4 linked regions of the Schizosaccharomyces pombe genome follow. The gene in region 3 interacts genetically with the main gene of each other region. Each region holds a gene or a part of one and is shown on either strand. Other genes may lie near its edges. The genes, in order: rad24, mbx2, gsf1 and gsf2.

Evidence for each region.
Region 1: of gsf1 (region 3) and rad24, extra expression of one rescues a mutant of the other (dosage rescue), as found in Schizosaccharomyces pombe (one study listed by BioGRID).
Region 2: of gsf1 (region 3) and mbx2, changing one suppresses a phenotype caused by changing the other (phenotypic suppression), as found in Schizosaccharomyces pombe (2 studies listed by BioGRID).
Region 4: of gsf1 (region 3) and gsf2, changing one suppresses a phenotype caused by changing the other (phenotypic suppression), as found in Schizosaccharomyces pombe (2 studies listed by BioGRID).

Annotation. Positions count from the first base shown.
Region 1 is NC_003424.3:3,382,479-3,386,219, forward strand, and holds rad24 (14-3-3 protein Rad24), read left to right. Parts: upstream 1-1,748; 5' UTR 1,749-1,789; coding exon 1,790-1,859; exon of another isoform or gene 1,860-2,058; intron 2,059-2,266; coding exon 2,267-3,009; 3' UTR 3,010-3,207; downstream 3,208-3,741. Other genes in the region: RecA family ATPase Dmc1, read left to right, coding at 1-926; inv2 (beta-fructofuranosidase), read left to right, coding at 3,569-3,741. UniProt on the Schizosaccharomyces pombe protein: Acts in cell cycle and stress checkpoint signaling by sequestering signal transducers regulated by the checkpoints. Required for the DNA damage checkpoint that ensures that DNA damage is repaired before mitosis is attempted.
Region 2 is NC_003423.3:3,624,648-3,629,165, forward strand, and holds mbx2 (MADS-box transcription factor), read left to right. Parts: upstream 1-1,991; coding exon 1,992-3,110; 3' UTR 3,111-4,011; downstream 4,012-4,518. UniProt on the Schizosaccharomyces pombe protein: Acts in transcription regulation. May bind to a MEF2-like typee II promoter sequence.
Region 3 is NC_003423.3:3,009,512-3,015,579, reverse strand, and holds gsf1 (protein gsf1), read right to left. Parts: upstream 4,069-6,068; 5' UTR 2,647-4,068; coding exon 1,003-2,646; 3' UTR 501-1,002; downstream 1-500. Other genes in the region: slm9 (histone H3.3-H4 chaperone, HIR complex WD repeat subunit Hip2), read right to left, coding at 1-42.
Region 4 is NC_003421.2:960,009-967,979, forward strand, and holds the start of gsf2 (protein Gsf2), read right to left. Parts: upstream 6,005-7,971; 5' UTR 3,965-6,004; coding exon 1-3,964. UniProt on the Schizosaccharomyces pombe protein: Galactose-specific adhesion protein essential for non-sexual flocculation and filamentous growth. Required for adhesion and filamentous growth through recognition of galactose residues on cell surface glycoconjugates. Induces flocculation when overexpressed.

The sequences.
Region 1 (3,741 bases), on a different chromosome or scaffold from region 3:
GGATTGGTATGACCGATATCATAAAATTGAAGCAAGCAGGCGTTTGTACGGTGCAAGGAGTCCATATGTCCACAAAGAGATTTCTCCTTAAAATCAAAGGTTTCAGCGAAGCCAAAGTGGATAAACTGAAGGAAGCGGCATCAAAAATGTGCCCAGCAAACTTTTCCACTGCGATGGAAATCAGTCAAAATCGTAAAAAAGTATGGAGTATTTCGACAGGATCCGAGGCACTCAATGGCATCCTTGGAGGGGGAATTCAGTCGATGAGTATTACAGAAGTATTTGGAGAGTTTCGTTGTGGTAAAACACAAATGTCGCATACATTGTGTGTCACTGCCCAGCTTCCTCGAGATATGGGCGGGGCCGAAGGAAAAGTAGCATTCATAGATACAGAAGGAACATTTCGACCTGATCGAATCAAAGCCATTGCAGAACGATTTGGTGTAGACGCCGATCAGGCTATGGAGAATATCATTGTCAGTAGAGCATACAACTCTGAGCAACAAATGGAATACATCACAAAATTAGGAACCATTTTTGCTGAAGATGGCCAATACCGTTTGTTAATTGTCGATTCCATCATGGCACTATTTCGGGTTGACTATTCGGGTCGCGGGGAATTATCAGAAAGGCAACAAAAATTAAACATTATGCTTGCTAGATTAAATCATATTTCTGAAGAGTTTAACGTAGCGGTCTTTGTCACAAATCAGGTTCAAGCAGACCCCGGAGCAGCAATGATGTTTGCGTCCAACGATCGAAAACCTGTAGGAGGCCATGTCATGGCTCACGCAAGCGCGACCCGTCTGCTGTTAAGAAAAGGTCGAGGTGAGGAACGTGTCGCAAAATTGAATGATTCTCCAGATATGCCTGAAGCCGAGTGCAGTTATGTGATTACACCTGGTGGCATAGCAGACGTTTCCTAATTGATTTTCTACCTATTCCAAAAAAAAAACAAAAAAAGAAGAGAAATAAGAAAAAAGATCAGCCAAGTTCAGCAATGCCTTTTATCATTGCGTTTGTGCTTATGTTTTAACAAAATTGAGTGCACTGATTACGTTAATGTTAACATTTTACTGCTGCAATACTATATCTTTAATACAATAATCAGTTCACTATTGGTCTCTAAAATGGCTTTAAAGAAAAAGTTTGGATGAGAAGCTCGCGCCATTTTAGATAACCAAACCAAGATTTTCTTAACTACACATTTATCAAATAGTTGCGAATGGCGCAAACCCCCAAAAGCAACTTATTCTTACGAGTCAACAAATTTGTTTAAGTAGTGTCATGTGAAGTTGCTATCGCATGTATCAATTAACAAAAGCTGAGCGCCTTTCATTGCAATCGTTGGACAATCTGACTTCCACCAAACAATTATATCGTGTGAGACAGAATTCGTCATCACCTTTGTTCCAGTTTATTTCCCGATTCTATGAAGGCCTGCAGATTTGCACGTGTTCAGGCACCTTCCTTTCGATGTTTACCTTTTGCGTCAATATGACAAAAGGGGTACAGTTTCTCTTGATCCGTTGCCAAGGATGTGTTTACCCCGGGGCTTTGTCGCAACAAACGAGAACAGTCCAGCAGCCAGGTTTTTCGATAACCTTCTGTCGTGCCGATAAATTACGATGCGCAGTCGCTAAATTCGACATACAGAAGCACAGGGCACGTTTACGCAGTGCTACGAAATTTTACTGTGGGAGCAGTCCTTTTTCTACCATACGACGTTCCGCAACCTTTCCAGTGCCAACCACCACGATATACTCACATTTTCGAACGTTTGGTAAAAATGTCTACTACTTCTCGTGAAGATGCTGTTTATTTAGCCAAACTTGCTGAGCAAGCCGAGCGCTATGAAGGTATGTGCTTTTATAAGGTTTAGAGACGCGTAGAGCAGAGATATATTTGGTGTTATTTCTGCAAGAACAAAATTACACACATCCAAGGTTCTATCGGCGGAAGCTTTTGAGTAAGCGGGCTTCCTGTAAAACATCGATTGCATTTATTTTTGACATAGTTGTGATCAGAGGCTTAGTTGGTAGAATGTTTGTGTTTGTGTGTTGTATGGTGGTTGTCAAATGAACTGTGCATTGGCTATGGTGATGTTGAAAAGGTGTTTTAGTATTTCAACTTGTTTCCTAACTTTATTTCTAATTGTTTTTACTCCGAGAAGAAATTTTTTTGTTCATACAGACATACGGAAAATACATCATGCTGCGCATCTCGAAAGTCGAAATCCTTATGTACTTATCACTAATATATCCAGGCATGGTTGAAAACATGAAAAGCGTTGCCTCCACTGATCAAGAATTGACCGTCGAAGAGCGTAACTTGCTCTCTGTTGCTTATAAGAATGTAATTGGAGCTCGCCGGGCGTCTTGGCGTATCGTTTCCTCCATCGAGCAAAAGGAGGAGAGCAAAGGCAATACTGCTCAAGTTGAATTAATTAAGGAATATCGTCAAAAGATTGAACAAGAACTTGACACTATTTGCCAAGATATCTTGACCGTTCTTGAGAAGCACCTTATCCCTAATGCTGCCTCTGCCGAATCCAAGGTTTTCTACTACAAGATGAAGGGTGACTACTATCGTTACCTTGCTGAGTTTGCCGTTGGTGAGAAGCGCCAACACTCCGCTGATCAATCTCTTGAAGGTTACAAGGCCGCTTCTGAAATTGCTACCGCCGAACTTGCACCTACTCATCCTATCCGCTTAGGTCTTGCTCTTAATTTCTCCGTTTTCTACTATGAGATCTTGAACTCCCCCGACCGTGCTTGCTACTTAGCCAAGCAAGCCTTTGATGAAGCTATCTCCGAGTTGGACAGCCTTTCCGAGGAATCCTACAAAGATTCTACTTTAATCATGCAATTGTTGCGTGACAACCTTACCTTATGGACTTCTGATGCTGAATACAGTGCCGCCGCTGCTGGTGGTAACACCGAGGGAGCTCAAGAAAACGCTCCTTCCAATGCTCCAGAAGGCGAAGCTGAGCCCAAGGCGGACGCATAGATAGCTCGTTGCTCATGATTGATGCCATACTTTCACTACTATGAACCAATTTTAAAAAATTTATTTGTCTAAGAGTTCTTTTTCGTTTAGATCTTGTGTACTACACGATGGAATAGTCTCATTACATTCTCGTATATTTTCTTCTAATTTTTTTTTCTTTTTGTCTTTCTTTAAATTTCTTTTTTTTTTACAGTCGTAGTATATGTGTGTATTTGGTAGCTGCTGTAAAAAATACAGTAGTTGGACGACATTTTAATTTCGAGTACACAACCCGTAATGATTTGCTTGGCTAAGTGGGTGTTGAGTTAATCAAGCAATAGTCTAGATAGATGTGAGTTTCAAACTGAAGAGTTGGTAGATTGAGAATGTTTAAGCCTATCGGATTGAATTTGAGCTTTTTGACTGATTTGCACCGAATTGCTTAATATTCCTTGCATACGACCGATGTACCACTTTTTACACAAAGCTTAAAAATTTGTATGTTCTAGTGATACTCAAACATTATTAAATATAAAAGCTTTAAGTTTGCATATAAAACGCACAGTAAACATTTGAATCGATGCCTGTGAGACCATGCATACATTTCACGCCTCCAGAAGGATTTATGAATGATCCCAATGGTCTGGTTTACAGTAATGGAAAATGGCATTTGTTTTTTCAATGGAATCCAACAGGAAACCAAGCCGGTAATCAACATTGGGGCCATGCAGTGAGTAAAAACCTGTATAAATG
Region 2 (4,518 bases), 620 kb from region 3:
CACGTAAACTATATCGCAACGAAAGTATGTCAGTCGCCAGATAGGACTACTCCTAAAGTCTAATCCAAACTACTTCGTCTAGCTATACTAAAGTATAAGCAGGTCGTAACGGTCGATTCATTGCGAAATCAAATTACTCATAAGCTACCTCTCTGGTTATTTTTTCCCAATGTACTGTATTCGTATTGTACCCCATTCTTACCGGATACATTTATTAATAGAGCAAGTTACGAAAAGCAAAATCAGAGCGAGTCTATTTTCGGACTTGTGTGTCTAAGTATAGTCAAGGAGCGGAGACAACACTCGTAATATTGTTCCTTCACGCCCTCCTCCCCCTTTCCCCTTTGAATTGAGTATCGTACACTGCATCAGTAATAGGGTCAGCGTTTCCAATTGACTGACTGGTTGAAAAGTGAAGGATTACATACGAAAATCCCTAAACGCGATCATCAGCGCATTCCGAATTTTCGTATCTTTCTATCTCTTCGATTCTTTCTTTAGCCTTGCCAAGTATTTTGGCTGGCCCATACGCTTTGCCTGACTATCGCGTCTAAAAATAAAATCCCCTTTCCAAAACCTTGGATTAGGTGCATGGGATTACTATGATTCTTTCCTAATAATTGCTAATCCCGCTTTCTTTCTATTTTTTTCTACTATTACTGCAAAGTCAGGTTTGCAATCCAAGTGGACTTTAACCATACTCAAAAGGTACCTTCTAACCTTCTTTCCATTATGTCCATCTTCCTCCTCCAATTAAAGGATTTTCCTACTTAGGGCTCATTTAATCGAGGCTATCCCACCTTTTTCATGAAAAAGTATTCGGCCTTGTGACCTCCCCTTTTCGAAAAGAGAGATGAAGAAATAGTTTAAATTACCCGAGTAGCCGAAACGGTGAATTTTCAGAATGTCTACATGAGGAACATAATGTACACTTATACGCGTTTGTATATTGAGAATTCATCGGTAATGTTGGCAAAGTGCTACGCATCTTCGGATAAACGTGAATGGAAGACATTTAGCCCCTAATTTTGGTGTACTTATGCAGGAAAAACCTATCCCTTAACAATTGCCTATGGAGGGAAAGAGAAAATTTTTTTCGTTCACTATTGGAATTTATTTTCTTTTGCATAAATATGTACAATGGTATGTTACGATGCTGGCGTCGATACTTGTCTAAGTTAGAACGCAGTGTGTATTACGAAGGTTGCATTAAATAGACGTTGCGGTTTCCTAGTTATTGCTATCCCTGTATATATATACACATATATATGTACAAAAACACGTATTTACACGCACTTATAAACGCACACAGACAACAAACAAATACCTAATTTTATAATTTCAAGTTGTTGAGACAGATTAATTTATTTATAAAACTTGGCGAGAAGATATTTTTAAACCTGACATTGAAAAGGAGGGGACAATTGTTAAAAATATAGCTTCAAAGGCAAAAATTTCTCCAAAGTGTTGATTCTTCCTCTTTCTATTTTAAAAATAGCACACAAAAACATCTAGTCATTTAATTTGTCTTTGTTCCTCTCATTTGTAAACACTTGAAAACCACCCGTTCCGGCTATCTTGTTTACTAAAAAAATTTTTTCTATTAATATCTTTAGTTTCGTCGCCCGCTTCAACCCAGAGTACAAAAACAAAAATAGCTTCCTCGTTTTTAAATCTCAACTTAGATTCGTCTAATCGACTATCAATTACGAGCACAATTGGAGAACTTTGCGCTCTTGTTTTCTCAAGCGAAAAATCTACCCTCAAGAGATCCGGTGCAGAGAAGGGAAGACAGGGATAAAAACTGTTACATAAATTCCAAGAATAAACCCCATCTGCTGTTTTCTATTTGTTCCTTATATACTTGCCCGTTTGCTCGCTCGTTTGCTCGTTTGTTTTCGTCATTCTCCCTATACCTGAATTTTGGTTAACCTCGTCGACTCTTTTTCTCTTTTCTCGTCAAACCTTACTAAATATATACAACGTCTAATATGGGGCGCAAAAAAATCTCCATTGCACCCATAACCGACGATCGTTCAAGGAGCGTAACTTTTGTCAAACGAAAACAAGGTCTCTACAAAAAGGCGTATGAACTCGCTGTGCTAGCCGATTGTGAAGTCGCCGTCACAGTCATTGATCGGAAAGGACGTTTGCACGTCTTTTGTTCCTCTGACTATCAACGTACTCTTCAACAACTCAACACTCTCAGCATATATGAGTTAAAAAACCGTTCTCATTTTTCGTCATCGCCTGTCGAAGAGTCAAGTACCGTGTCTCCAGAAACGACAACTGGTTCATTTACTCCTCTTAATAATAAGCATTTGAAGTCACAGGACCAACCTTTATCAGACTCCCAACTCGACACTGGTGATTCTCCTGCAACATCGGAAACGACTGTTCAGGACTATAATCCTCAAGTTCAGTCTTACTGTCGTCCCGAGCCTTTATCGTCTAATCACGTTCGTTCTTGTCCTCCATTTCCTCCCACACAACATCATCATCCCCATACTCGTCCTCCTCATCATCCACCTCATCCTCATTTTCATAACAATAACTATCCACCGCCCTATTGTTTCCAATCTCCTGTGTCTCCGGGTGCTACAGTTCCATTGCAACATCATTCTCCGTACCCTAGTGATAACGGCTTTCCTGGTCATCGTAGGCAAACGCACTTCGCTCCTTACTACTATCCACAAAGAGCTACGTCTCCTTCTTTGAAACAAGTTCCAACTTATCTGGGTACTCATGTACTGCAACAAGACCAGTCCACCTATGATCAGAAGGTCCTTATGCCTCCAGCAAGTTATCTTTCTTCACCTAATCAATACACCTTAAAAAATGTCTCTCCTGGTAACCCGGCTTGCCCTCCTTTTCTCTATGAACATCCAAATCCACAGCTAACGCCTGAGATGTTTGATGTTAAACAAGGCTCACCTATTCCGCCTACTGCGTATTCGGGTAGCAGTTGTGAGACTTCTCAACATACCATTGCGAATACTCCATTTTTGGCATATGATCGCTCTCCTTCCTTAACGAATCAAGAAGCTGAATCATCCTTCCAAGACGTAGCTTCCATTAGTCCACATTCACTCAGTGATGTCAAATACTAAAGAATATCATAGAAGTCAATCTCCCTTTCAAATGTCTTCATCATGTGTCCTCCCTGGATCTAATGAATCGTATACAAGTAATAATTTTAGTTGGCATACATCTCGATCAAATCCTTACAATCGTTTTCTTACTCAAACTGCATATGATTTGGAGCAATCCAAGCACCAATAGTTTACTGCCAAGCTGTGCGATGCCCATTTTTTTAATTTGACTTACATCGCATTCCAGTAAACAATTGTTAATACTAGGTCTATCAATTTATCGTTATAGTTGAATTACGCGAACGAAATTACTGACCTAGCAATAATTGAAGTTTGGAATGTTGTTCAATAAAATGGACACCTACCGATAGCTTATGGATTCAATGTGAACTACAAACCTAGCATGATTTCAGACGCTAGCAAATACAAATACCTGAACATTTCAGATGTGCCAATGGTTTAACTTTGTTAACTTCCATCTTCGGTATTTTGGATCCTCCCTGTTATGAATTCAAGATGGTGATTTTCGGTTTAAATATTTATTTGCAAACTGCGGGCAGTTTATCACTTATTTATTCAGGCACGCATTTTGTCTATTCAAGTGGACTAAGTTTTTTCGTGATTTTGTTTTAACCACCTCCTTCCACTTCATTAATTAATTCACCAACATGTAACATTCGCGGACCAACCTTTATGTTCGCATTCAAATTTTTTTTTGGAGCCGCTAATTTCTAATTAGACGTTTCTCATTCGTTTTCAAGGTTATACATGGTTTATTTTCGTGTGTTTGACTCGATTTTTTGCTAGATTTTTCACGGTTTCTCCTTTTTAATCAAGAACGTTTGACGATTCACAGAACCTTTTTCAAACCCCTAATTACAGTTTTCAACAATAACATGAGAAATTCGAACTTTCCGTGTAGTTTTACAGAGTAATGTTTAAGTGTTTGTTAGTATGTCGGTGTGTAAGTGTAGCGTAGCGATAACCGTCCAGCTTCAAAGGTAAGATGCAGGGGAGTAATGCAGCAGCTAATTTTATATGGCGGAATGAGCATGGTAGCACTCTTCAAAGAAGGTGGAATAGGAATTTGGCTTCATGCGAAATTATGTTAACAGAAACCTGAGTTTCTGTAACATATTATTATATACGTGGCTTAGGACATCCAAACAAATAAATGAAATTCTTTAGTATAAGAAGATGAAGAAGATATAAAAGATTACCAATGTTATGCAAACGATGGAACATGAATCAACCGCATAAAACTCAGTCGCTGTATCAAAAATGACCATCGTGGGATGCTGACATAGGCAATCAAGTTTCTCACTTCAAATAAATTAGAGACTGATTTGGCAAATATTTGAGAATTGATCCTCTATTTGACAAATCATTTTAACTTATTTTATGACAGACAAGTCTGTTTGTATTT
Region 3 (6,068 bases):
AAATTGATGGTTTTCTAATAACTTAGGCACAAAAATGTGCATCGTTGTGGGGTGAGGGAACTTTTGTTTACTAACTTTTATTTTTCATTCTCCCAATTCATGAATAACGTTCACTATCGGGTTCGGCTATGGCGTTGAAGTGCGTTGAATACAGTCTCGTCTGGGAGACTTAAGATTTAGCAACCAAATTAAGCACGCATTTCCTAAGCAAATGTAATTAAATGAAAAGCGTGGATCAACTTTCGTACAATTACAATATGAATTTCATTAAATAACGTATTCTAATTTGATTTTATTTACGCTGTTTATATAAGATTACTTTCGCTACAAAAATAATAGAATAAGAAGAAAATTCACAATAATTGCGGTGATAACTCGATAATGAGGTTTCCCGAAAAAACTTTAGTTAAAAACCTAAATCTAGACACAACTAGTGGGTTTAAGGTTATTCTGAAAACACGTAAACTGCATGGGAATATAACATACTTTACAAATTTAATTCGGAATTATAGCAACAAAATAGTAAAGAATGCATTTCATTGAAAACAAACAAACGAAAAATAAACAAACTCAAAAACAATATGATAATGGATAGTCCATCCATAACGTATAACTGTAGAACGATAAACCTGATTAAACGTCAAACACGTCAAATTTGCTAGCTGAATCAAAGAAATATGTATATTTCATCGAAAAGCCGATAAAAGCATTTTAATGATTATTTTTATAAAAGAAAAGAAGAGTCCAATCACCTTTTTTAACTTCACAATTGATAAAATTTAGCAATCTTCTTCAAAACAAAGCCTGCTTGTGTCTTATTACTAGCTCCAACATAATTTCGTCGAAAAAACATGACGTCTCTGATGCAATAACACTAAACCAGGATTAAGCGTTTAGGAGATGTTAACATTTACTGCTGCTTTATTAATAAAACCTGATTATACAAGCAACAAAGTACACGGCAGCAACCTTCTTAAGACGAAATTAGAAGCTGCGAGATAGTTATTGACAACCAATGGCTAAAGCGGAAGAATTAGTTTGAGCAACTTCTGTTGAAAAGTTCGATATGGTAGCTTGAAGTTGGCGTTCTTCACAGGATTGTACACATTTCTCAACTTTCATTTGTAAATCACCCAAATCAACGACGCCATGAACGGCTAATAGGCACGCTCTCGCGATATGAATGGCGGGTGTTGGGTCAGGATTTTGAAGGATCAATTCAACCCATTGAGCTAATGATACAGGAGAGGTGAAAACGGCGTGAATCATCAGTAGAGCCAGGCGGGGTAAATCAGCCTTATCTATAGGGCAATTTTTCGACCACTTAGTAAACTCGGGCTCAAGGCCCTTTTCATGACAAAGCTTTCGTAAACCAAGGTGGAAAAGAGATTCATCGAGAACAGCAGTAGGTGTAGTTGCAGGGGGCAAATCACATTTGAGTAAAGGCAATGGATTCAAACCCGATGCTAATGGCTTCACAATTCCAGCCAATACCACTTGACGAATAAACATACGGCGCAATAAATAAGTAATAATTTCATCGCTAGGGCTAGTCATTAAAGATGCATCAAACTTGACTACTTGATCAACAGCAAAATTGAAGAGTTGGATATCGCTTTTTGGAATGTATAGTTGGGTAACTGCTAGCAAGACTAAGATGAGAAGACTGTCAGTGGTAGTAATGTTGGTAAGCGCAACACGGGCTTGACGTGCAAAAGCTACGGCATCATCCGTTAGATGACGCTTGGCGCTGGCGAAAGCATAGAGGGCTACACTAATATTGGGATTTCTTAAAGCAAGTTCAGGAACAGTTGATGACCAATATATACTTGAAAATGAAGAATATGGACTTAAAGGGGGAAAGTGACATGCATCCCAAAGACAAAGGGAAGGAGCCACCGATTGTATATAGTAAAGAAATGTGGGATGTGTAGGTTGGCCAGCTAAACCATGTGGCGCTGGCTCTGACAATAAACTGGAAACAGGGATTCTTCGAGATGCCGTAAATGTGCCAGAGGGGCGAGGGAAATGAGTATAACCCTCACATTGCCTTTTCGATTTGATACAGTTGTAGCAAATCGGTTTCCGTTCATCACACTTAATTCTTCGCTTGCGACAGGTCAAGCAACCAGTTTTAGTTCTTTTTCTAGCTTGGCGTTTAACCAACCCACTATTATTAAGAGCATTCCCTGATTGCACGGTTTTACCGGTAACAGGAGCACTATTATTTGAGCCAGTTTTTGGAGGTGAGGGAGGGACCATCTCGATGGGAGAAGGAGATGGAACGGACTGAGGAGCAGTATTTTGAAGGACATGATGCATGCTATAGGCATTCGATGGGTCATGGGGGGAAGGCACTATGGTGTATGAATTATTAGAAGGGGCAGAAGAACTCTGGGGGTAGGAGGGTGGAGTTAGAGCTGCAATGGAATGATATGTTGATGTAGGAGTAAAAGGCGGCAATGAAGCGAGAGAAGGAGAAACTACGGAGGAGGAGAGTGGGGGAAGTCGAGTTAGTATTGAGGGATGCTGAAGATGCAATGAATTTGGAGGTGCTGGCTGTTGGTAAGTGTACGTATAACCGCCTTGCTGGGATTCCATTCCAGGATTTACCTGAGGAGATTGAGAAGAAGGATGATACTCCATTGGAAAAGATTATAAAATAAGAAATTTACGGTTATAAAACAAAAAGGAGAAGCGAAAATACAAATTAGCCAGTCCGCGTAAAAACCTTTTTACAATCAGTAGAAGACAACTAACTGATTGGTAAGAGAAGAAAAGAAAAGAAGGAAAGTCGACAAGTCCTAAAATAAAGGGTGGGATACAAATTCGATTCTAAAAAAATATTTTTATAGAGAAGAGCAACACAATAAAATATTATCAGTGCGTTACCAATTAAGTTCAATCAATTGGGAGTGGAGGATTTGGCAAAATTAAACAGCAAACAAAAATGCTATAATATACGAAGAATACCAAATCAAACGGAATATAAAAATGCAAATCAGAAAAGTGGTCGAGTGAGTCTTACGAAATTTAATGAGGAATGTGAAAGGACGAAAACCACAGAATAAACTAAGTTACCAATCGACCGAAAAAAAATACAAAAATAAGTAAAAGAAAAAACAAGACCAAAATCAACCTAGTAAAGGTGCGAAGAAGAATAGAAAACAAAAACAAAAACAAAAATCACTTCTTCGTGATCAGAGAGAAATAAGCGAGGTAAAATATTATCGATGAACGTAAGCGGGATGAAATCTAAAAAAGACGTTTCGTTCGTTATTTAAAAGAAATAAAAGTATGTCCGGTTGGGGAAAATTTAAAATATAATTCCGAAGAGGAGACGAAGCTGGGGCACAACTATCCAAATCCAACTACCGAAAGCAATGGATCCAAGGTTATCAAAAAGAAAAAGCACCCCAAATTAGGCGGAGTCAGGTCGAGCGAACCGAAACGCAAACTTGACAACGAAGAGGGGGGATCACTACACACCGTCGAGTTTACTAAGAATAGCTAACGCAGCCGGCACTATTTGACAGTATGGAACGGTAGGAAGAGAAAGAATAGGTAGGGTTGTACTGACTGACTGATTCACTGGCAAAAGACTAAGTAAAGAAGAGACAGACAGATAAGAAAGGGAGGTAGGTGATGGATGGTTAATTAAGAGGCCAAAAAGAAAAATAAAAACCTCAACAAAGAAACTTTATAAGGGGGGGATAGAAATTGAAATAGAAAATTAAGTTGGCAACTAAAAATAAAAAGAGCCAAACAAACGACAAACGTACACTACAAAGAAAATGTCTTTCGACAAATGGGATAGCAGTTTGTTGGTGGTTAATGACTTTGCTATGGAAAAAAATAAAAACACAAAGCAACGAACTCAAGATGCAACAAGCAAATTGTCGATGTGTATGTGTGTGTGTTTTTTTCTTTCGTTTAGAAGATGAATAATGGTAAAGCGAGCAATTCGCCTTCAAATCTATAAGATAAGTTGATTATAAATATAGTAGGATTACTTTTCAACAATCTACTATTTATTAATAGTTGCACTGTCTAGGCATCAAGTAAGGGGAGAAATGTGGTGGAAGACAACAGTAATATATTAAAAAAAGTCAACAAGTATCTCGCGGGGCAAAGTCGATGCGAAAAAAAAATTGGCGAGGACCCGCGCTACCTTAAGCACTCAAAGTCAAATAATGACATCATAACCAGTAACCCGAATTCTTTAACAAGCTAATCAAAGGATTCCTAGCCAATAGGAGAAGGCGGTCTTTGGTCACGCAACCGAACGAAACAGGTCCATCCCACATGCACATCTAGACATAAACCTTTTCAGGGCGGCCAGGCTAAAGAGGCAAGGGGAAACTACCCTAACAGAGGTGGCACGTGTTGACGCATCTCCCCCTTCCAAAAGCATTTCTAGTCAGACAGAGAGGAGTGAAGAGCAACAATTCTGCAGTGTAATTATCTACTTGGAAAGTGAGTGGTGTGCGTGTGTGTGCGGTCAAGAGTTATAATTGCCGAACCATAGGTATTCATGCTCATGCTAAACAGCGTCATCATCCATACACACACATACATACATACATACACATAAAAAAAAAAAACATACCCATAGACACAAGCCACAATGGGTGATGAAGAGCAATCAGAATGCATCTCAGCATTTCACTATGCTCGCATTTTCAAATTGTAGAGAAAAAAAATATGTCTTCTTTACATTGGCAAAGAGCAAGGGAAAGGGAATGAATGTCGCACATTTTCCGTTCAAAAGCAAACATCCCTTTGTATAAGCTTGCTCGCTGGACAGGGTGGGTTTTCTCTTTTTTTTTTCGCTTGATTGCTTGATTGACGAATTTTTCCACCATTCACTGCTTTTACCCTCAAGCGGCAAAAAGTCGATACGCAAGCAAACTCTCAACTCTTTTTTCTTTCCCGGTACAAGGGATTGGATTGCATAACACCCTGCCCTTCCTCTTCAACCTACCTCTTAAATCTTAATGGCGGACCGTACGGAATCGGAACGACGGTGCGGCCTCAGGGTGGTGGACTGAAAAAAAGTAAATTTGCGAAATTAAACGACCTGTTTATGGTAAGGGAAGGTGATATTCGGGTAAAGTGGAAGAACAAGAGCAACGTTATTCATGCTAGTCTCGTATCTATGCGAAAGATTGAGATATCTTTTCCCTAAGGGATTTTCCACCCTTCATTCAAGGGGAATAACGCTAACGAAGCTGGTGGGATTCCATTTAGCCGGGACTGGTTTCAACCTAGTTGGCACTTTACGTAACATTTGTGGCATCCACCCATCATCGTGAACTAAACGATAAATAAAGGTTATCTAAAATGAGTAAGCAACTTTTTTCCTTTGTTGATGAGTGGGTAGATGCGACATGAAAGGAAGTGGACTTTTGAAATGGGAAGGGAAGAGAAGAGAAGAGAAATGGGAGAGAAATAATGGATATTTACACTTTTTATCTTATTCCTTTGGATTTGTTGTTATTACAAAAGAAAAATAAAATTTTTATTACCCTCATCTTTTTTTGCTCGTTTCCTTCTTATACAATCTAATCTCATTCGTTGTCTAGCACTCAACAAATAATTACGGTTGTCCGGCTACAACCACAGTAACCCGGTAGAGCCGGTTATCCTAACTAACCTCGTGACAGATCTTCGCTCGTGCGTGCCCACAATGTCTAGCCAGAATGACGAGAATTCAGCAATAAGATAGAAGAAGGTTCACCGTTTGCCTGGCAACAAATGTAAGGTGAGCTAAGTTTTACTATTTTCATAGCTCGGTTACTTATCTAGTCCTGCTCTTAAGGGCCAAATCGCCGAAATTCCTATTTAGCCGTGTCGCCATATCGGTTTGACAGCTCTCAGTATACAACCCGTTTTTCCTCTATGCTTTTTATTAATTTCACGGATTGGATTTATTTTTTTTGTGTGAAAATAGAAACAATGGTCGGCGTTGAAAGGATGTGTCGGCCTTTTCAGCAACACGATCTACTCGCTCTTTCCTTCACCCGTCTCCGTACTGCCATCTCTTGCATAGTAATGGTTTGGTGGTG
Region 4 (7,971 bases), on a different chromosome or scaffold from region 3:
TACCAGCAGTTCCAGTAGCACCAGTAGTAGGTTGAACCTCAGTAGCAGTAGTAGCTTGAGTCTCGGTACCAGCAGTTCCAGTAGCACCAGTAGTAGTTTGAACCTCAGTGGCAGTAGTAGCTTGAGTCTCAGTAGCAGTAGTAGCTTGGGTTTCAGTACCAGTAGTGACTTGAGTCTCAGTACCAGCAGTGCCAGTAGCACCAGTAGTAGGTTGAACCTCGGTAGCAGTAGTGACTTGAGTCTCAGTACCAGCAGTTCCAGTAGCACCAGTAGTAGGTTGAACCTCAGTAGCAGTAGTAGCTTGAGTCTCGGTACCAGCAGTTCCAGTAGCACCAGTAGTAGTTTGAACCTCAGTGGCAGTAGTAGCTTGAGTCTCAGTAGCAGTAGTAGCTTGGGTTTCAGTACCAGTAGTGACTTGAGTCTCAGTACCAGCAGTGCCAGTAGCACCAGTAGTAGGTTGAACCTCGGTAGCAGTAGTGAGTTGAGTCTCAGTACCAGCAGTTCCAGTAGCACCAGTAGTGGGAAGGACCTCAGAACCAGTAGTTGTAGGAGTATTAATGACAACCGTAGTGGTTCCAGTAGCAGTTCCAGTAGGAGTAACTGTGACAGTAGATGTCTCGGTTCCAGTGTAACCAGTTGTAACAGTAACAATGTCGGTTTCAGTCGCAGTCACTGTGGTAGGTGTTTGAATAACAACTGTAGTGGTTCCAGTGGAGGTTCCAGTAGGAGTAACTGTGACAGTAGATGTCTCGGTTCCAGTGTAACCAGTTGTAACAGTAACAATGTCGGTTTCAGTCGCAGTCACTGTGGTAGGTGTTTGAATAACAACTGTAGTGGTTCCAGTGGAGGTTCCAGTAGGAGTAACTGTGACAGTAGATGTCTCGGTTCCAGTGTAACCAGTTGTAACAGTAACAATGTCGGTTTCAGTCGCAGTCACTGTGGTAGGTGTTTGAATAACAACTGTAGTGGTTCCAGTGGAGGTTCCAGTAGGAGTAACTGTGACAGTAGATGTCTCGGTTCCAGTGTAACCAGTTGTAACAGTAACAATGTCGGTTTCAGTCGCAGTCACTGTGGTAGGTGTTTGAATAACAACTGTAGTGGTTCCAGTGGAGGTTCCAGTAGGAGTAACTGTGACAGTAGATGTCTCGGTTCCAGTGTAACCAGTTGTAACAGTAACAATGTCGGTTTCAGTCGCAGTCACTGTGGTAGGTGTTTGAATAACAACTGTAGTGGTTCCAGTGGAGGTTCCAGTAGGAGTAACTGTGACAGTAGATGTCTCAGTTCCAGTGTAACCAGTTGTAACAGTAACAATGTCGGTTTCAGTTGCAGTCACTGTGGTAGGCGTTTGAATAACAACTGTAGTGGTTCCGGTAGAGGTTCCAGTAGGAGTAACTGTGACAGTAGATGTCTCAGTTCCAGTGTAACCAGTTGTAACAGTAACAATGTCGGTTTCAGTTGCAGTCACTGTGGTAGGCGTTTGAATAACAACTGTAGTGGTTCCAGTGGTTCCAGTAGGAATAACTGTAACAGTAGAAGTCTCAGTACCAGTATAACCAGTTGTCACAGTAGTAACGGTGCCAGTAACAATGGTTGTAGGAATGATATACGAAGAGTTTCCATAAGGAATCTCAACTGTGTTGGTAACAACAGGGCCAGAGGAACCGGTCAATGTAGTTGTAAGAGATCCGGAATATCCAATGGTAGTAGTGGTAGTAGTAGCCGAAACACTGGGAGTTTCGATATAAACTGTAGTGGGACCAGTCTCACTTCCACTGTGAGTAACAATAGAAGTAAGCGTGGTTGATCCAGTCCAGCCAGTCGTAATAGTAGTATAACCATAATTAACACTAGTAGTGGTAGGGACATCAACAGTTTCAGTAACAATGCTATTGCTACCGCTACCAGTCAAAGTAGTAGTTACCGAACCAGAATATCCAACAGTAGTGGTGGTAGTGACAGTTGTGGGATAAGGAGTCTCCACATAAACTGTAGTAGGTCCAGTCTCATTACCACTGTGAGGAACAGTAGTGGTAAGAGTAGTGGATCCAGTATAACCAGTGGTAACAGTGGTGTAACCATAGTTAGTAGTAGTGGGAACCTCAACAGTATCAATAACAGTACCATTGCTAGGAGCTCCAGTCAAAGTAGTAGTGACGGATCCAGGATATCCAACAGTAGTGGTGGTAGTGACAGTTGTGGGATAAGGAGTCTCCACATAAACTGTAGTAGGTCCAGTCTCATTACCACTGTGAGGAACAGTAGTGGTAAGAGTAGTGGATCCAGTATAACCAGTGGTAATAGTGGTGTAACCATAGTTAGTAGTAGTGGGAACCTCAACAGTATCAATAACAGTACCATTGCTAGGAGCTCCAGTCAAAGTAGTAGTGACGGATCCAGGATATCCAACAGTAGTGGTGGTAGTGACAGTTGTGGGATAAGGAGTCTCCACATAAACTGTAGTAGGTCCAGTCTCATTACCACTGTGAGGAACAGTAGTGGTAAGAGTAGTGGATCCAGTATAACCAGTGGTAATAGTGGTGTAACCATAGTTAGTAGTAGTGGGAATCTCAACAGTATCAATAACAGTACCATTGCTAGGAGCTCCAGTCAAAGTAGTAGTGACGGATCCAGGATATCCAACAGTAGTGGTGGTAGTGACAGTTGTGGGATAAGGAGTCTCCACATAAACTGTAGTAGGTCCAGTCTCATTACCACTGTGAGGAACAGTAGTGGTAAGAGTAGTGGATCCAGTATAACCAGTGGTAACAGTGGTGTAACCATAGTTAGTAGTAGTGGGAACCTCAACAGTATCAATAACAGTACCATTGCTAGGAGCTCCAGTCAAAGTAGTAGTGACGGATCCAGGATATCCAACAGTAGTGGTGGTAGTGACAGTTGTGGGATAAGGAGTCTCCACATAAACTGTAGTAGGTCCAGTCTCATTACCACTGTGAGGAACAGTAGTGGTAAGAGTAGTGGATCCAGTATAACCAGTGGTAACAGTGGTGTAACCATAGTTAGTAGTAGTGGGAACCTCAACAGTATCAATAACAGTACCATTGCTAGGAGCTCCAGTCAAAGTAGTAGTGACGGATCCAGGATATCCAACAGTAGTGGTGGTAGTGACAGTTGTGGGATAAGGAGTCTCCACATAAACTGTAGTAGGTCCAGTCTCATTACCACTGTGAGGAACAGTAGTGGTAAGAGTAGTGGATCCAGTATAACCAGTGGTAATAGTGGTGTAACCATAGTTAGTAGTAGTGGGAACCTCAACAGTATCAATAACAGTACCATTGCTAGGAGTTCCAGTCAAGGTAGTAGTGACGGATCCAGGATATCCAACAGTAGTTGTTGTGGTTGTGGTAGGGACTGTAACAATAAGAATTGTTGTTGGAGGGGGACAACTAGTACTTGTTGAACCAGATGTGGTTACAATTAAAACCGTTGCTGGGTTGCATGAGGTGCTAGTCGTATCAGCTACAAAAGTTGAGCTCGCTTCAACAGCATTTGAAACTTGTGAACCTGAAGTGGTAGTCGAATCAGGAAGAAAGGTAGATGGGCTTGCTTGAATTGCATAAGAAGCTTCTTTCCCTGAGGTAAAAGTGCTAATAGCAGTCATGGAAGCGTCGTTGCTAACGGGACTAGCAGTAATGTAGTTAGCATCATTTCCATTTTTTACTGTGAAGGTGCTAGTAAACATGCTAGGATCAACAGCAGCGTCTCTGCCAAGTAAGGTTGGCATATCGTCAACTAGGAAATTTGGATCCGCAAGCTCGGTCTTTGGAAGTGAAATATCGTGAGGCACTTCATTTTGTGATGCAGAGGAAAGGTAATCTTCAGGTTCCATTCCCTTTTGCAAAATCCTGACATTTCCAGAAGGTAGACCAGAAGTCAAGGAGGGAAGAAGAGCAGCCGTGAAAAGTAATGCCCGAGCAGATGTGGATAAAAACCTTCTAACAGACATTGTTGATATATTCAAAAACGGGTAAGTGAATTAGAAAAAAACAAAATTATTAAGATAATTTAACCAAACGAATAAAAAAATTAAATATTATCAAAAACAAAATTAAATCCAATGCTTGACGATTGGTGTGCAGAGCGCGTTTATTGATAATATGATAGAAATTCAATTAGAAAAATAGTGAATCCCAAATGAATAAAGCTCGTAGTTTCAACAGAGAATGAAGAAAAGAGGGTTTAAATGAATGCAAAATTGCGAAAAGATTAATGAAAGAAATAATATATATAAATAAAAAATAACTGGATGAAAGGAGATTCGCAAGCTGTATTACCAAACCAACCCAAACACGAAATTACCCAGTGTTTATTTTGTGTAAATGTAGGACAACTTAAAACCCAATTTCAACCCGAAATCCTAGACGATAGAATGGGGGATGTAAAGAAAAAAGGGGAGAATATTAAAAAATAAATGCTAGCCAGATTTATTTTAAATTATTCAAATGAATGTAAAATACCCACTTGTAATTCAAAAGAATGTAGAATATGTACAAGAGCAGATTTGTTTCTCAAAAAAAAAACAAAATTGGATGCTGGCGAAAAGAATGAGTGAAGATATTGTTATCACAGATTCGTGCAGCGAAGAGAGATCAAGTCGCTTTCCCAAAATAAAGATGGAAGGAAGGAAACAAATGATGATACAACAAAAAAAAGAAAGTTCCAATAACCAAACTCTAGCAACCTCAACAAAAAGAGAGAGACAGATGGTGTATATGGAATAGGTAATCCTTTTTTTTTGCAATGTTCGAATCTTTCTCGATGCTTTGCTTTTATAGAAGAAAGTCAACGATCTTAATCTCGTTAAGAATGTTTTGGATGTTCAATTGATGACTGATTGACGAACACTCGACCACTCGCCTTCAATGTAGGAGCGAAATAACTTTCTTAAGTAGATGCGGCCATATTTATAAATAACTACACCCAAACCAATCTGTGTGAAATTTTAGCAATGAATATTTACGGAATTTTTCCTTTGCGACTTTTTCTATACCCCTCTCTCTGTACCCCGATGACCCTTTTCTCAAATGTTCCCCGTTTTTGCAAGTTTTTCTTTTTTTAGAGAAACATTTTGAATTCGAATTTAAAAAATCGTTGTCACCTATGTGGAAGACCCCGCGATAACATAAAACCTCTTCGCAAATTCTAATTTCGGCTAGGGAATAATCTCTATCTCGGGAACATGGAGGTAAGGATCCACTTTTGCATTCTGTGCTGGTTCCTAAGAATATCGAGGTCGAGCGAAGAAGAAAATTTCGATATATGGAATAACGAGACCGAGTATGCTAAAGAAAGAGAAGAAAAGAAGGCTGATTACAGGAGTAGTGTAGAGGATGTAGCAAGCGCAATTTTAATTGCAATTAAGAAGCTAGTGAAACAAGAGATTAAGATTTAATTTGTGGAGATGACAGGAGAGAAATGAAAAAGTGCGACTATGAAGAATGATGAGTAAGTGAGTGGAAGTGTAGTAGAGATGGGGTTGTGGTAGCGAGAAAGGCGGTGTTTAGAAGGATGTAGTAGTAGTTCATGCAATGTCAATTCATTAGTTATGCAACGTCTAAGTCGTTAGATTTTCAATGTTTGCTTAGTGATCAAAGCATTTATAATTGAAATTTTTTAGTTCAATTTTAAGGTGGCAGCGTTCAGTTGCTATTTTTTCGCGTCTATTTGAATTGCGACGATTGTAAACGAAAAATAACCTTTCAATATTATGGATGGATGTCCATTCGCGCATTGGAAAGTTTCTACTGATTTGAATGACTTTTTACGCGTCCTTTTCCAATTTCTTTTCCTACAATTTTTGGCAATTGTTTTTGTTTTTTTTGTTATCACCACTATTGTTTCATCTTCTCCCTCCAACTAGCGTTCTCCTCGGATAAAAATACTTGCATTTACTTCTATATGTCCAATTCATAAAATTACAAGTATGTCAAACCTCTGCCGGCTTATAGTCCAGCTTGCCTTGGAGGCAGAATGCATGGCGGCGCTCACCAGGTGTTGTCAATCTGGTCCCGTAGAATGGTGGTAATTTTTGCAACTCTCATTACTCTACGCTAATTATATATACTGCATTCTTAAGTAATATAGTGAATCGGAATGAGTTTTTTTTTTTTTTTTTTTTTTTTTAAGCAAATTGGATCGGAAAAACAAGGACAAGAAATGAACGAAAGCCTTGATAATTACGAGAAAAATTACATAAAATATATGGAAATCTTTTTAGAATGAAATGAATTCTTTTGCTTCTTTTCCAAACGTCAAAGCCAACGTACTATATCCTTTTTGCTACTGTGTACATGCTACGCTCTACTTCACTAAACAGTCAGGTCAGTATGTACTATTTTCGGTCAGTGTGTACTTTTTGCTCTGGTTGTGATTAAAGCTAGTTTGGCTTAGCCATCATGGATGGTAAAGCCGGCAATGCCTAGGCACATGTTGAAATGGTTATTTTTATAGAACTAGCTATTTTGGATGAAAGTTTGAGAAGGAAACCCGAGAATATAGACTCACGAATAAAGAAACACTCATTAATTATTCGTTTAAAAGATATGAGAAGAAGTTAAAACAAGAACCTTTCTATTTTCATCCACCATTCACACAACAAATACTTTTTGTTTGTAAGCAGCTTCTTGTGTTTCTCGTCTATTTCTGTAAATAACCAACATCGGATAGCACACCCACTTTACTTTCTATTCTTAGTAGCCGTCGTTATTTATTTTTAGCAGTAACCCGCTCCTGCCGTACTAAACGGCATTCATAAACGGAATTAGTGCAGTGTAGTGTAGTGCATTCAGTGATCAAAGGGGATCTTATTTTCTTCGATTGTCTTCTAAGTTTCTCTATTTTTAGATGGACATTTTAAAAAAAGTCTTCTTCGTGTATTGTAGAATACCTTACCCCCAAAAATAAAAAAGAATAAAAAAAGAGAATCCTGAATCACACACACTCTCTCTCTTTCAAACATTTTTTTTTTCTGTGGAATTGTCAATTTATGTGCTGCGAAACTTTTCGCTAATTTCAACTTTACGACTCGTAAAATGCTTCGTTAAGCAAAAGGGGTAGGCTTATATACTATTAGTAAATAACCATCGGTCCGACAAGGCAAGAGGGCAATTTCGATTATGCATCCAATTTTCATAAACTGTAGAAGGGAAATTAGATAAAAAAGAGGTGGCTGAATCAGATGCTTTTCTTTTCTTTTTTTTTAATTCATTATTTGTTTTCACACAGTAAAGTTTTATGTGTACATACGAATTCACCAATATTCATACACTCGGGTTCCCATGGAAAACAAGGCAATCAAATTACGATAAAAAAATATATATATGTAAAGAAAAGAGCAATCGTTAATTGTTGTTGTTGTTGTTTTTTTTCGAAGAGAAGTCGTATTTGTTTCTTTTTTTTCTTAGACATTTTATTGTTCCTTACCTTTATTTGTTCTTCCATGCTTTCTTTATTTACATAGGGTCTCCGTTACTTGATGTTCTTTACCTCTTCCTCGTGCTGAAATTGAATGGAATACGTCATGATTTCGGTAAATCAACCCTTTAAATTTTCGGTAATCCTTGACCAATGTTTGTTTCTCAAATACAAAAACACTAAAGCTTATACGTCATGACATGATGTTATCTGTTCGTTGAGTGGAAGGATGATGTCAAACACATTGTCCAATTGCGGCTTTTAAATTTCGCTTCCTTGTTTATTTATGGCATCATATGAAGAAGGAGAACATTGTGACTCCATTCCGCTTCGTTATTCACCTTTTCAAAACAAGAGGTTTCTACGATTAGCGAGGTCGTCGTTAAGCATAATTAAAGAGAAGAAGATATACAAGATGGTAATTTGATTCTTTATTTCTATTTATATTTTATTTTTTACTTTGATACTTGTGTCCCACTTGTTAATTCTATTTCTATATTATTTTTTCCACTTTTTTAATTCTATTTCTGTTTTCTATTT